3 linked regions of the Canis lupus familiaris genome follow. The protein of the gene in region 2 interacts with the protein of the main gene of each other region in a pairwise test. Links are inferred from orthologs where the notes say so. Each region holds a gene or a part of one and is shown on either strand. Other genes may lie near its edges. The genes, in order: NPY, NR1H2 and MED1.

What was found.
Region 1: the proteins of NR1H2 (region 2) and NPY interact in a two-hybrid assay, tested with the Homo sapiens proteins (3 studies listed by BioGRID and IntAct). The link is inferred for Canis lupus familiaris from reciprocal best matches to the Homo sapiens genes NR1H2 and NPY.
Region 3: the proteins of NR1H2 (region 2) and MED1 interact in a two-hybrid assay, tested with the Homo sapiens proteins (2 studies listed by BioGRID and IntAct, with this or other methods). The link is inferred for Canis lupus familiaris from reciprocal best matches to the Homo sapiens genes NR1H2 and MED1.

What each region holds. Positions count from the first base shown.
Region 1 is NC_049235.1:37,907,437-37,911,500, forward strand, and holds the start of NPY (pro-neuropeptide Y), read left to right. Parts: upstream 1-1,228; 5' UTR 1,229-1,381; intron 1,382-2,238; coding exon 2,239-2,426; intron 2,427-4,064. UniProt on the Homo sapiens protein: NPY is implicated in the control of feeding and in secretion of gonadotrophin-release hormone.
Region 2 is NC_049222.1:107,001,691-107,005,978, reverse strand, and holds the start of NR1H2 (oxysterols receptor LXR-beta), read left to right. Parts: upstream 1-1,432; 5' UTR 1,433-1,593; intron 1,594-1,706; 5' UTR 1,707-1,867; intron 1,868-2,430; 5' UTR 2,431-2,449; coding exon 2,450-2,492; intron 2,493-2,573; coding exon 2,574-2,705; intron 2,706-3,059; coding exon 3,060-3,350; intron 3,351-3,427; coding exon 3,428-3,693; intron 3,694-3,906; coding exon 3,907-4,086; intron 4,087-4,288. UniProt on the Homo sapiens protein: Nuclear receptor that exhibits a ligand-dependent transcriptional activation activity. Binds preferentially to double-stranded oligonucleotide direct repeats having the consensus half-site sequence 5'-AGGTCA-3' and 4-nt spacing (DR-4).
Region 3 is NC_049230.1:22,961,926-22,965,502, reverse strand, and holds part of MED1 (mediator of RNA polymerase II transcription subunit 1), read right to left. Parts: intron 3,308-3,577; coding exon 3,212-3,307; intron 3,098-3,211; coding exon 2,992-3,097; intron 123-2,991; coding exon 1-122. UniProt on the Homo sapiens protein: Component of the Mediator complex, a coactivator involved in the regulated transcription of nearly all RNA polymerase II-dependent genes.

The sequences.
Region 1 (4,064 bases), on a different chromosome or scaffold from region 2:
GACCTGAAATATGTGTCCCTGTCATATTTTTGTGCAATATGGAAAGAGAAGCATTCACCTAAGTGAAGGGGATGTGGTCTTCAAAATTTCTCATGTGCGTACACACACACACACACACAGAGAGAGAGAGAGAGAGAGAGAGAGAGAGAGAGAGAGAATGGGAGAGAACACCGAGTGCAGAGCTAGCCACACAGTAATTGATCTTTAATTCAGTGCGGTGGAAACAGCACAAAAGCGCTCAGTTTAACAGAATCACTTGTGATCTTAACATTAAAATAGCTTGTACCTTAACACTTTAATCTCCTGACGTGCCATTTTTTTTAGAGAGAGTTGGAGTTCTAGGAATATTCAGGTAACTTTTAAGAATCAAAATCCTGTTCCTGTAAAAAAAAAATGGTTTATTGAATCTTTCATATTCATGCCAATAAATGATTTTTTTTCTTTTACCTGTTTCATTTCAATCAGAACCCACACTCTCAATCCACGTTAATGAACATATCTGTAACTATCCCGGGGCTAACAAATAAAGGAGAAATTCCCGTCCCTTGAACTACCCGGTAGCTTTGGCTGCGCCTTGCCCTGGACGGCGCGTCGGCGGGTCTGCAGGCCGTGGAAGCGCCGCTCCTTGCCGGCAGCGCGGGCAGGTGGGGTTACCGCGTCCCGTTTCTGAAGACTTTGCAAGCGCCACCCTTTCAGCCCTGATGGAGCCGGAGTCCCCGCGTTGGGGCGAGTACTTGGGGTGGGCTGGTCCCCTCGCAAAGAAAGCGGGGGCAGGGCCCGAAGCCACAGGATCCCATCTAAGACCCCGAGGGGCGGAGGGGGCCATTCGCCCTGGGACAGGCGCCCCGCGCCAGGTTCCGCGCAGGGAGATCGGTGCACGGAGGGGTCCCGGCTGCGGGCTGGTGCCCCGCGTCGCTGCGGCGGGCGTCCCGGGGATGCTCCACCGCTGGAGGCGGCGCGCCCCCCACCCTAGCGCCCAGCCGGTCGGAGGTCCCGGTGACGGGCGACACACAGGGTCTGGGCTGCTCCCATCTCCAGCGGGACTGGACGGGGGGTGACGAGCGCCCGCTCTCGCCTGCCCGGGGCCCCCTGCAGGGCGGGGGTGGAGGAGCGGGGCGGGGGGGCGGGGGGCGGCTCCAGAAGCGGCGGCTCGCGCGACTGCGGCCTCGGCCCCCCTCCCCGCCGCCCCCGCCAGTCGGGGGCGGGAAGCGGCGGGTGGGAGTCACCGAACGTGATCGCCCGAGGCCCCTCCTGCCGCCGCGAGGGAGCGCCATAAAAGCCCTGTTGCGCCCCGCTCTCCGCACCGCGTCCGCCGGCGCTCACCCCTCGGACAGGCGCCCCGGGACCGCACAGCCCTCGCCGCCCGGCCACGCCCGCCACCGTGAGTGCCGGACCCGCTCCCCTGGGGGCGCCAGCCGCGGGGACACGGCGCCGGCTCGCCCTCGGGGAGCTCCGGGGTCGCGCCCCGCTTCCCCGCCCCTGCGCGCCGCGCTCCGTCCTCTCGGGCCCCGACGCGCGGCGGCAGCTCCCGGAGGCCGAACTCCGCTTGCTCCTTCTGGTCCTTTCCGACTGCGCTTCACGCGCGGTCCCTCGGGGCTACCTTTTGGAGCATTTGGAGGGGGACACGACCCCCAGCCCCCGGGCAGCTCGCACTTTCCTCGGGGCTGGCAGCCCGGAAGGAGGCTTCCCGGGCTGCGCCCCCCCCCCCCCCAGCCCCGAGCGAAGCATCCCCGGGGTTCGGAAGCCCCCTGCCTCCTCCCGGATCCTTGGGATCCCGAGATTGACTGCCGGGAGAGCAATTCTCGCCTCGCTCCCCCAAATTGTCACCCCCAAAGGAATCTCAGCCAGGACGGTCTCTCTCGCAGCAAGACAGACCGCGAGAAGAAACTTTTCCCCTCCGACAGGAGTTTGGGAAAGAGGGTGGGAAAGCGCCAGGACCCCGACCCCACCGGGGGGAACTGCTCCGTCTGTCTTTAAAGTGTCTGACCCGGCGCCCCTGGTTGCGCGCGGCCCCTGCGGCCCCCGACTTGCACGGAATCCGCGCGGACCTCTCGGGGGCAGCGGGCGGGTGTCGCCCTCAGCGCAGGGCTCTCCGCTGCCCCTGGGGACTGGGCCGAGCGCGGGCCGGGGGGCGCGAGTGGCCGCGGGGAGGGGGCGTCGAGGGACACCCGGGCGGGAGGGTCCAGGCGTGCGTCCCCCAGCCCCCGCTCTTCCCCGCTGCGCCCCCTGTGCCCGCAGATGCTGGGTAGCAAGCGCCTGGGGCCCTCCGGACTGACCCTCGCCCTGTCGCTGCTCGTGTGCCTGGGCGCGCTGGCCGAGGCGTACCCCTCCAAGCCGGACAACCCCGGGGAGGACGCGCCGGCGGAGGACATGGCCAGATACTATTCAGCGCTGCGACACTACATCAACCTCATCACCAGGCAGAGGTGGGTGGGCTCCTGAGGACCGACGCCCGGAGCGCCCTGGCCCCAAACCCGAGATCCCGGGGATGTCAAAGGACAGGGACCAGGGTTTTGTTTGTTTTTTTTTTTTTTCTTGCTTGGACCCCTGGGCAGCACGGTATCAGGCACGTACTCAGTTCTCCGTGAACAATTGCCCAGAGCCCTGAACGCTTTCCCTCTGCGACCATAGTTACAAAATCGTGACCCCCCAGATTTAGGTTCCCTAGGCTGTGTGGCTGGCGATCTTGCCCCCCTCACTCCCTGCTCTTTTTTGTTGTTGTTGTTGTTGTTCTTAGAGCAGTTGGGGGGACTGTTTGGAAATCTGGATGGGAAAGGACCCCCTAAACTTGGTCAGGAGTGCCCCAGAGAAGTGCTGTAGGGAGAAGGGTGAGCGGAGTGTCTAGGAGCTGCAATCACCACCACCAACCAGCAAACAGCTGGGTTGCCAAAGACATTGCCAGATTTTCCAAGCTGCCCAGAACAAATTGAATGACAATATTTAAGAAAAGACAAACAGAGCTCTTTTCTTCTGTGCAGTGTTTTGTTTTCTTTTGTTTGTTTGTTTCTTCAGTCTCAGCCCTTTACTTTAAAATCCTGGAGATAATTGAGACTTAGCATGAAAACAGTTGATCTAAAGTATAGACTTTCCCCATCTTCTGGCGGGTTGAGTTTTGAGAAGGAAGTGCCCACTTAGTGGTTTGTTAAGAAGAAACTAGTCACTCTGGGATAAACCCAGGGATTACATGGAATTTGAAAAATTGTAAACTTTATTCTGAGCCCTCAGAAAACTAAAATTGAATGCCATGTTTTCACTCTCAACATCAAATATTTATGCAAAAAAAAAAATCACATCCAAACTGTAATATAGAATTTAAAATTTGTTTCCAATTGGTTTATCTTAGTTCTATCTTAGTTTTAAGTCATTTAATGTCTTAATTACTGGGATCAAGTTACCTTAATAGGCTAAGAAAGGAGAGCCCTTTAAAAACATTAATGTTAAAAATCTCTAAATTACGTTTTGTAAAGTGTTATTGTTTGTTTTTGCTTTTACCACACTTTTTACTATTTGTAAGTCAGGGAATAGTTGGGAACGATTCAAAATGGGGAGAATTTACATTTCTTAACTAAGTTTTTTTTCCTGTTTCATCAAAAAGGGGTATGACATCCTAAAAAGCTTTTGAAAAAGTCTCTGTTTACAGAGAATCAGAAATACATAAAATGCTGAATTAAATAGTATTGATTTGTAAACCTGGAAGTCTGTTCATTTTAATGAGCAAAAAGGCAATAATGTTTTATATCCAAGTAGACTTCTCAGAATGTTAATTGCTTCAAATTCTTGCTTATGCTGTCATATAGAGCAGATAAAAGAACTTGTTCAAATAAAAAAAAAATATTGTCGTTTATGTAGGAAAAACGCTGTTGGTTAGTTTGTCGGTTATAACCCAGTAGATTGCTATAAAGCTTTATCATTGTATAAAGCATTAGCATTTCAAAATGTTTCCCTAGGCGTTCATTTTGTCTTTACCTCAAAGCCTTGAAGTGGGTATAATTATCTCCATTTTACAGGTCATGAATCTAAGAACATTTTATGAAGGCTTTTCTTTTTAGGGGTGATGAAATTGG
Region 2 (4,288 bases):
TCTTAAGAAATAGGAATAACTTCCCCTATTTTACAGATCCGTCAACTGAGACTGAGGGTGATATGCCTTGCCCCAAACTGCTGTAATTCATTTTCAGTCTCTTTCAGCCTTTTGCACTATTCTAGGGAAGTTAAAAACAACCTGAGCATCCCCAAGAATAAACACAGTTCTCACATATTAGGCTCTCCTTATTTGAACCTGACCTGACTCATTCTTTTTACCTTATTTAGTTGTAATGACAACCCAACTAACTCTTATTGGGCCCAATTTATTTTTTTTTAGATTGTATTTATCTATTCATGAGAGACCGAGAAAGAGGCAGAGACACAGGCAAAGGGAGAAGCAGGCTTCCTGCGGGGAACCTGATGCGGTCTCAATCCCAGGACCCTAGGATCACGACCTGAGCCAAAGGCAGGTGCTCAACTACTGAGCCACCCAGCCTCCTCGTTGGACCCAGTTTAGGAAAGGAAACTGAGGCACAGGCAGGGTCAATAGCCTGGCTCAACATAACACAACTAGGAAGTGACAGAGACACGAGTTCAGCCATTCTCTCCACTCTATGTCCATGTAATCACCCCTTTTAGTGGTAACATCCTCCGATTCCATAGCTTCAAGGTCATGTCGGAATGGACAAAACAAATTATAAAAGAGCATGACTCATACGTTGCAATAAAAAACGGATATATGCTCAATATAGATCTGATTATCATCCAGGGAAGACCAGAACAGTTCCCTTTTTCTACCTATTCAAGTACTGTGAGTTATCTTTAAAAGCTATTATTTGTATCACTTTGGTTATGAGGTTATGCTTTTTTTAAATCTTCATATCAACAAGTTCTTTTATATATATATATATATAAAGATTTTATTTATTTATTCATGAGAGACACACGGGGGGGGGGGGGCAGAAACACAGGCAGAGTAAGACGCAGGCTCCATGCAGGGAGCCCGATATGGGACTCGATCCCAGGACTCTAGGATCATGCCCTGGGCCAAAGGCAGGCACCAAACCGCTGAGCCACCCAGGGAGCCCTCAACAAGTTCTTTTTTTAATAGATTTTTCCTGGGTCTAGGTTTGCAATTCAATTTATTTCAAACCAATAAGCAACGTGCCTCTAAAACCAGAAAACTTGTTAATCAAACAAGGACAAACATGCTTCAAATCAACGTGTGCGACAAGGAGCAGAAGGTCGGGAGCTTTGTGACCAGTAAACCCCCAAGCTACGAGCCCAGAGAGGAACAGGGCTGGAGCAAAAGCAGCCCAGCTCCCACTCGGAAGGTTTGAGACAGGCCACGCCCCCTCCCGCACTACATTCGGGAACTGGTCCGGAACTCTCCTGCCAGGCCTCGGTGGAAATACTCCGGACGGTAAGCTTCCGGTGAGAATACGACTTCCGTGCGGGGCAGCCGATTTGGCTAGTTAAGCGGACCGGAAGTCCGTCACTCCTGACTGCCCGCCCCCTTCCTAAAGTGACGCACGGCGGGGTTGCCGGAAGAAGTGGCGAAGTTACTTTTGAGGGGATCCGAGAAGCGGCGGCGTGCCAGGGGATACAGAGAAGGAGGAGGAAAAGCAGAGCAAGGGGACAGAGGCAGGTGCACTAGAGTGTGGGGAGACTCGGGAGGCGTCCTGGGCCCGGGGCTTCCCGGCGTTCCCCGCGCTGCTCCGCTCAGCCTCCTTCTCTCCTTCCCCCCCCTCCCTTCCGTAGCTCGCGCTGTCTCCGGTTGTTTCCAGGGCAACGGGAGTAGGAGACCCCGCGAGAGGCCGCCCACAAGACCCTCGCGCGCAGCCATGAGCCCCGCCCCCCACTGGTGTTCGGAGAGGGGCGGGACCTGGAGCGAGGTGTGGGGGCGGAGCGTGAAGGGAGGGGTGAGGCGTGGCCTGACGGGAGGTGGGGCGGGGCCTGCAGGGAGGGGCACCGGCGGGGCGGGGCAAGGGGAGGGGCGGGGCGTGATGGCTGGAGTGAGGGTGGGACCTGGTAGGCTTGGGCGGGACCTAGATGGAAAAGTGGGGGTGGGGCAAGGGGAGGTGGTGGGGTCAGGGTGGGAGTTGGGGATGCTATTTCCGCGGAGGTGGGGAGTTCTTACTCGTAGGTAGGGTGAAACTGGGTGGGATGGAGGAAGTGAGGGCGGAGCACGATGGAAGCAGAAAGGGCAGTACCTGCAGGAACGGAGTGGGCGGAGCCTACGGGAGGGGCGGAGTCTAGGTGAGGGCAGGGCTGAGAGCCTGTGGAGGCCTGGAGCGGTCGGGGGCGGGCTCTGTCCCAACCTGAGGAGAGGTCCCAGAGGCAGGCAGGGGCTAGGCGGGGGTCTCTGCAGTAAAGGAGGAGCCTGGAAAAATGGAAGAAACAGGTGCCCGCATCAGGACTTGGGGCTGGCCTAACCTGAGCCTCCCTGGCCCCACAAGGCTCTCGGTCCCCCCGTATTCTGCAGGTTTCTCCGTGACTCCACCATGTCCACCCCCACCACCAGTTCTCTGGACACGCCCTTGCCTGGTGAGTGAGCTCCTTCCCGGCCCAGCCCCGACCCCCGTGGCACACTTGTCAGGAGAAACTCACTGTGCTTACCTCTCCCAGGAAATGGCCCGCCTCAAGCCAGCGCCCCATCTTCTTCACCAGCGATAAAGGAGGAGGGTCCTGAACTGTGGCCTTCGGGTCCAGATCCTGATGTCCCAGGCAGCGATTGGGCCCGCTCCGCTTGCAGCGGGGGTGAGATGGGGGCCAAGGACAGGGGCTGGGACAGGGTTGGGGAAGGATCCAGAAAGGGAGAAAGATCAGAAATGAGGATGGGAGGCTCCCAATTTCTCGTTAATTTTTTCTTCCATGCTTACTTGTCACTTTTTTTTTCTTTTTTTGCCCGTGAGCATATTTTTTTCCTACTTGATGCCACTTGTCATTTGTTCTTTGGGGTTCACTGATATGCACGCTTTTGTTTCTGAGACACCATTTCCCTGGGTCACTGTCTGTATCCTGGCTTTTTGCTTCTCTCTTGTGGGGATGATCCTTGGGCTGCAATTTCCTTCCGAGGCCCTGTGTCTCAGGGTTCCTGACCACCCACCCCAGTCGTTCCAGACCCTGCTGAGGAACCTGAGCGCAAGCGAAAGAAAGGCCCAGCCCCAAAGATGCTGGGCCATGAGCTGTGCCGTGTGTGCGGGGACAAGGCTTCTGGCTTCCACTACAACGTGCTCAGCTGCGAAGGCTGCAAGGGTTTCTTCCGGCGCAGTGTGGTCCGAGGCGGGGCCAGGCGCTACGCCTGCCGGGGTGGCGGGACCTGCCAGATGGACGCCTTCATGCGGCGCAAGTGCCAGCAGTGCCGGCTGCGCAAGTGCAAGGAGGCCGGGATGAGGGAGCAGTGTGAGTGCTGGGGGGAGAGCCGGCCGGACCCCTGCCCAGCCCTGGGGCCTCTGCTGAGGCCTCTGTCTCCCGAACAGGCGTCCTCTCGGAGGAACAGATCCGAAAGAAGAAGATTCGGAAGCAGCAACAGCAGCAGCAGCAACAGTCACCAGTAGGGCCAATGGGCAGCAGCACAGCTTGTGGACCTGGGGCCTCCCCTGGAGGGTCTGACGGAGGCGGCCAGGGCTCTGGGGAAGGCGAGGGTATTCAGTTAACAGCTGCTCAGGAACTAATGATCCAACAGTTGGTGGCAGCTCAACTGCAGTGCAACAAACGCTCCTTCTCTGACCAGCCCAAAGTCACGGTACCTCCCCTCCCACAGCCTTGAGGGATGATGAGCATGGTGGGGTTGAGCCAGTAAGGCTGTAGCCAAGGGCATGGGGAGGTAACAAGCCTTCAGAGGGCAGGGCCTTGGAGAGGAGGGTCTCCTAGGGTACAGTCTTTGCCTCAAGGTGTCCCTGCAGCCTTGGGCTTGAGGGAGAAGTCCTGAGAATAACCCTGGCCCCTGTTTCCCCAGCCCTGGCCTCTGGGTGCAGACCCCCAGTCCCGCGATGCCCGCCAGCAGCGTTTTGCCCACTTCACGGAACTAGCCATCATCTCAGTCCAGGAGATTGTGGATTTCGCCAAACAAGTGCCTGGCTTCCTGCAGCTGGGCCGCGAGGACCAGATCGCCCTCCTGAAGGCGTCTACCATTGAGGTAATGGGCAGTCTGCCCATCCTCTACAAGGCCCTTCCTTCCTGCCCATGAGGAGCTCCAGGGATAAGCCTCAGGAAAGCTGTTGGGAGTATAGTGATGAGTCATATACCTCCAGTTGTTGCCCTTGTGGAGAGGATACCCTACAGGGGAAGGCCAAAATACTAAACAGATAATCAGAGCCTCCCATGAGCCAAAGAGAACA
Region 3 (3,577 bases), on a different chromosome or scaffold from region 2:
GCAGGTTCTTTTTCACCATGTCTTCAACTGTCTCTGCAATGAGGGACAGTGCTGGGGTGTCGGCCTGAATGGTTTCAGCTTTCCTCCGAATAGCCCTCATCGTCACAGGGATGGACATACATCTGTAAGATAAGATAGAAAAAACAAAATCAGCAATGTATTAGCTGCTGAAAGAAAACAATTTTTATTTGGGAAAACAGGCTTTAATTTTGCCTGAAATTCAGATATGTACTCAGAGGTTTACAGTAAGGAATTTTCAGGTAAGGCAAGTAACCGGTAAGACAGAAATAGTTCTATAAAATGCTGGAGCATTGGGCAAATTCATTCTAAAAGGAATCTGTACCAGTAGGCAATCTTAACCTCTTTTAAAGCACTACCCAAAACAAACCAACCACAAAGTCCAAATTACATGTCATACTAAACCAAAAGAAAACTGGTAATAATGAACTCAGTAAGAAAATGCCCTCCTGGGGCGCCTGGGTAGCTCAGGTGGTTAAGCATCTGCCTTCAGCGCAGGTCATGATCCCAGGGTCCTGGGATCGAGCCCCACATCAGCTCCCTGCTCAAAGGGGAGTCTGCTTCTCCCTCTCCCTCTGCCCATCCCCCACCACCTTGTTCATGCTTGCTCTGTCACTCTCTCAAATAAATAAAATCTTTAAAAAAAAGCCCTCCTTTTAGGACTTCACATGTGATTAATGGGATATAATATTTACCTTAATTAATGAAACACTAGAAAAAGCTCTTGAAACATCAAGTTCTAAACCTTAATGGCAAAAAATAATAATAATAATAAAAAAAAACTAAACCTTAATGGTGGGACACCTGGGTGGCTCAGCGGTTTAGCGCCTGCCTTTGGCCCAGGGCATGATCCTGGAGTCCCGGGATCGAGTCCCACATTGGGCTCCCTGCATGGAGCCTGCATCTCCTCTGTCTGTGTCTCTGCCTCTCTTTCTGTGTGTCTCATGAATAAATAAACTCTTTAAAAAATAAATCATAAAATAAAATAAAATAAAATAAAATAAAATAAAATAAAATAAAATAAAATAAAATAAAATAAAATAAAATAAAATAAAACAAAAATAAACCTTAATGGCTTAAAGCATCCCAAAGCTATATTGTGAAAGATGCTATTATTGCTCTAAAATCTTTATTATTTTTTTAAATGATTTATTTACTTATTTACATATGATATATATATAGAGAGAGAGGCAGAGACACAGGAAGAGGGAGAAGCAGGCTCCATGCCAGGAGCCCGACGCAGAACTCGATCCCGGGACTCCAGGATCACACCTGGGCCAAAGGCAAGCGCTAAACCACTGAGCCACCCAAGAATCCCCTACAATCTTTATTATTTTAAAGCAAAGCACTTTTTATCTTATAGATAAGTTTAAAAACGTATTTTCGGGATCCCTGGGTGGCGCAGCGGTTTGGCGCCTGCCTTTGGCCCAGGGTGCGATCCTGGAGACCCGGGATCGAATCCCACGTCAGGCTCCCGGTGCATGGAGCCTGCTTCTCCCTCTGCCTATGTCTCTGCCTCTCTCTCCCTCTCTCTCTGTATGACTATCATAAATAAATTAAAAAAAAAAAAGTATTTTCGAAAACACTTTGCTCTAGAACATTTTAGCAACTTTTCTTAAAGAGACCAAAATAGTAGTATTTTAGGATTTTGAAGATCACATGGTTTTTGTCCAACTATTCTGCCATCTTAGCTCGAAAGGCACCACAGACAATATATAGGGGTGCCTGAGTGGCTCAGTCGGTTAAGTGTCCCAATTCTTGATTTTACCTCAGGTCATGATCTCAGTGTACTGAGATCAAACCCCACATCAGACTTCCCACTCAGTAGAGTCTGCTTAGGATTCTCTCTCCTTCTAACCCCCACCCACCCCTCAAATTCTCTCTAAAAAATAAATCTTAAAAAAAAAAAAAAAAAAGAGACAACATATAAATGAACAAACATAGCTGTGTTCCAATAAAATTTATTTACAAAACAGGCCACAAGCATCAGCTCTAGAAAAATCTCAAAATTACATATTAATGTTTCTGGGAAGCTGACTAGCTTAAAGTATCTTCCTACATGCCACCATTTGATATATTACATATGTTAAAAAGTGATGCAGTAGATAAGTAAAAAAAAAATCTAGGGGCTCAGTTGGCTAAACATCAGTCTTTAGCTCAGGTCATGATCCCAGACTCCCGGGATCAATACCCATGTCAGGCTCCCTGCTCAGCGGGTAGTCTGCTTCTCCCCCCTCCTTCTGGCTGTCCCCCTGGCTCCTTCTCTTTCTGCCTGTCTATCTCACTCTCTATCTCAAATAAATAAATAAAATCTTAAAAAAAAAAATCTACATCTTATTTCAGGTATTTCCTTCCTAAAAGAATCCTATACCAACCTAAAGTTACTCTACCTTACTTCCTATTACTCCCATGATGGTATTTAAAAAACTAAAGCTTGGGGCAGGCCAGGTGGCTCAGTGGTTTAGCGCCGCTTTCAGCCCAGAGCCTGATCCTAGAGACCCAGGATCGAGTCCCACAACAGGCTCCCTGCATGGAGCCTGCTTCTCCCTCCGCCTGTGTCTCTGCCTCTGTCTCTCATTAATAAATAAATAAAAACCTTAAAAAAAATAAAAAACTAAAGCTCACATTGCTTTTGAATCCCAAAGCAGAGAAAGGTGAATTCAAAACAGTGACTACATGCTTCCCTCCTGGGCAGCCCCAGTGGCGCAGCGGTTTGGCGCCACCTGCAGCCTGGGGTGTGATCCTGGAGACCCGGGATCGAGTCCCACATCAGGTTCCCAGCGTGAAGCCTGCTTCTCCCTCTGCCTATGTCTCTGCCTCTCTCTCTGTGTCTATGAATAAATAAATAAAATCTTTAAAAAAATAAAAAATAAATAAATGCTTCCCTCCTAAATTTCCATTCACTTTAATACTGAAAACAGTGTTTCTTATACCCCTCTAAATGGGAGTCTGATGGAAAAGAGCCAGTGCTACCTTTGAACAACTTTGGCAATGAAGTCATCTGTGCAGATGAGTGCATCTGACAGCCCCTTGTACAGTTTACAGCTCACATGTGTTGAGTCCTGCACATCCATTACCACTGAAAGACAAAACATATAGGAGTTGAGAGAAATTCAGCTTCTGACTTTCCAAAAAGAAGATAAAGAGCCCAAACTACTGCCCTAAGAAAAGAGCTAGCCCCCTCAAAACTCACCACACACCAGGGAGTCATTCACAGGGTGCTGAAAAGATACGCTAAAACGGGACTCTGAGAGAGGACACACTTCAAATTGGAGGAGCCCAGGAGAATCTAAAAGGCAAAGAAAAAGATCATAAAATAATCAAATATAAGACTAAATCCTAATAAATAATAATCCCTAAGTATACAGAACATCATTTTCAGTCTCCTTAGAAACTAAATCCTATACATTTTTTACATGCAAAACTACTATATCATTCACAGGTGATAGAATGAATCCGATTCCAAAAAATATGTCAGCTTGTTATAAATATTCCAAACAAATAAGTAACTAAACTTCCACTTTCTAAAATGAAGGCCATTTAATCCCTAAATTGTTAA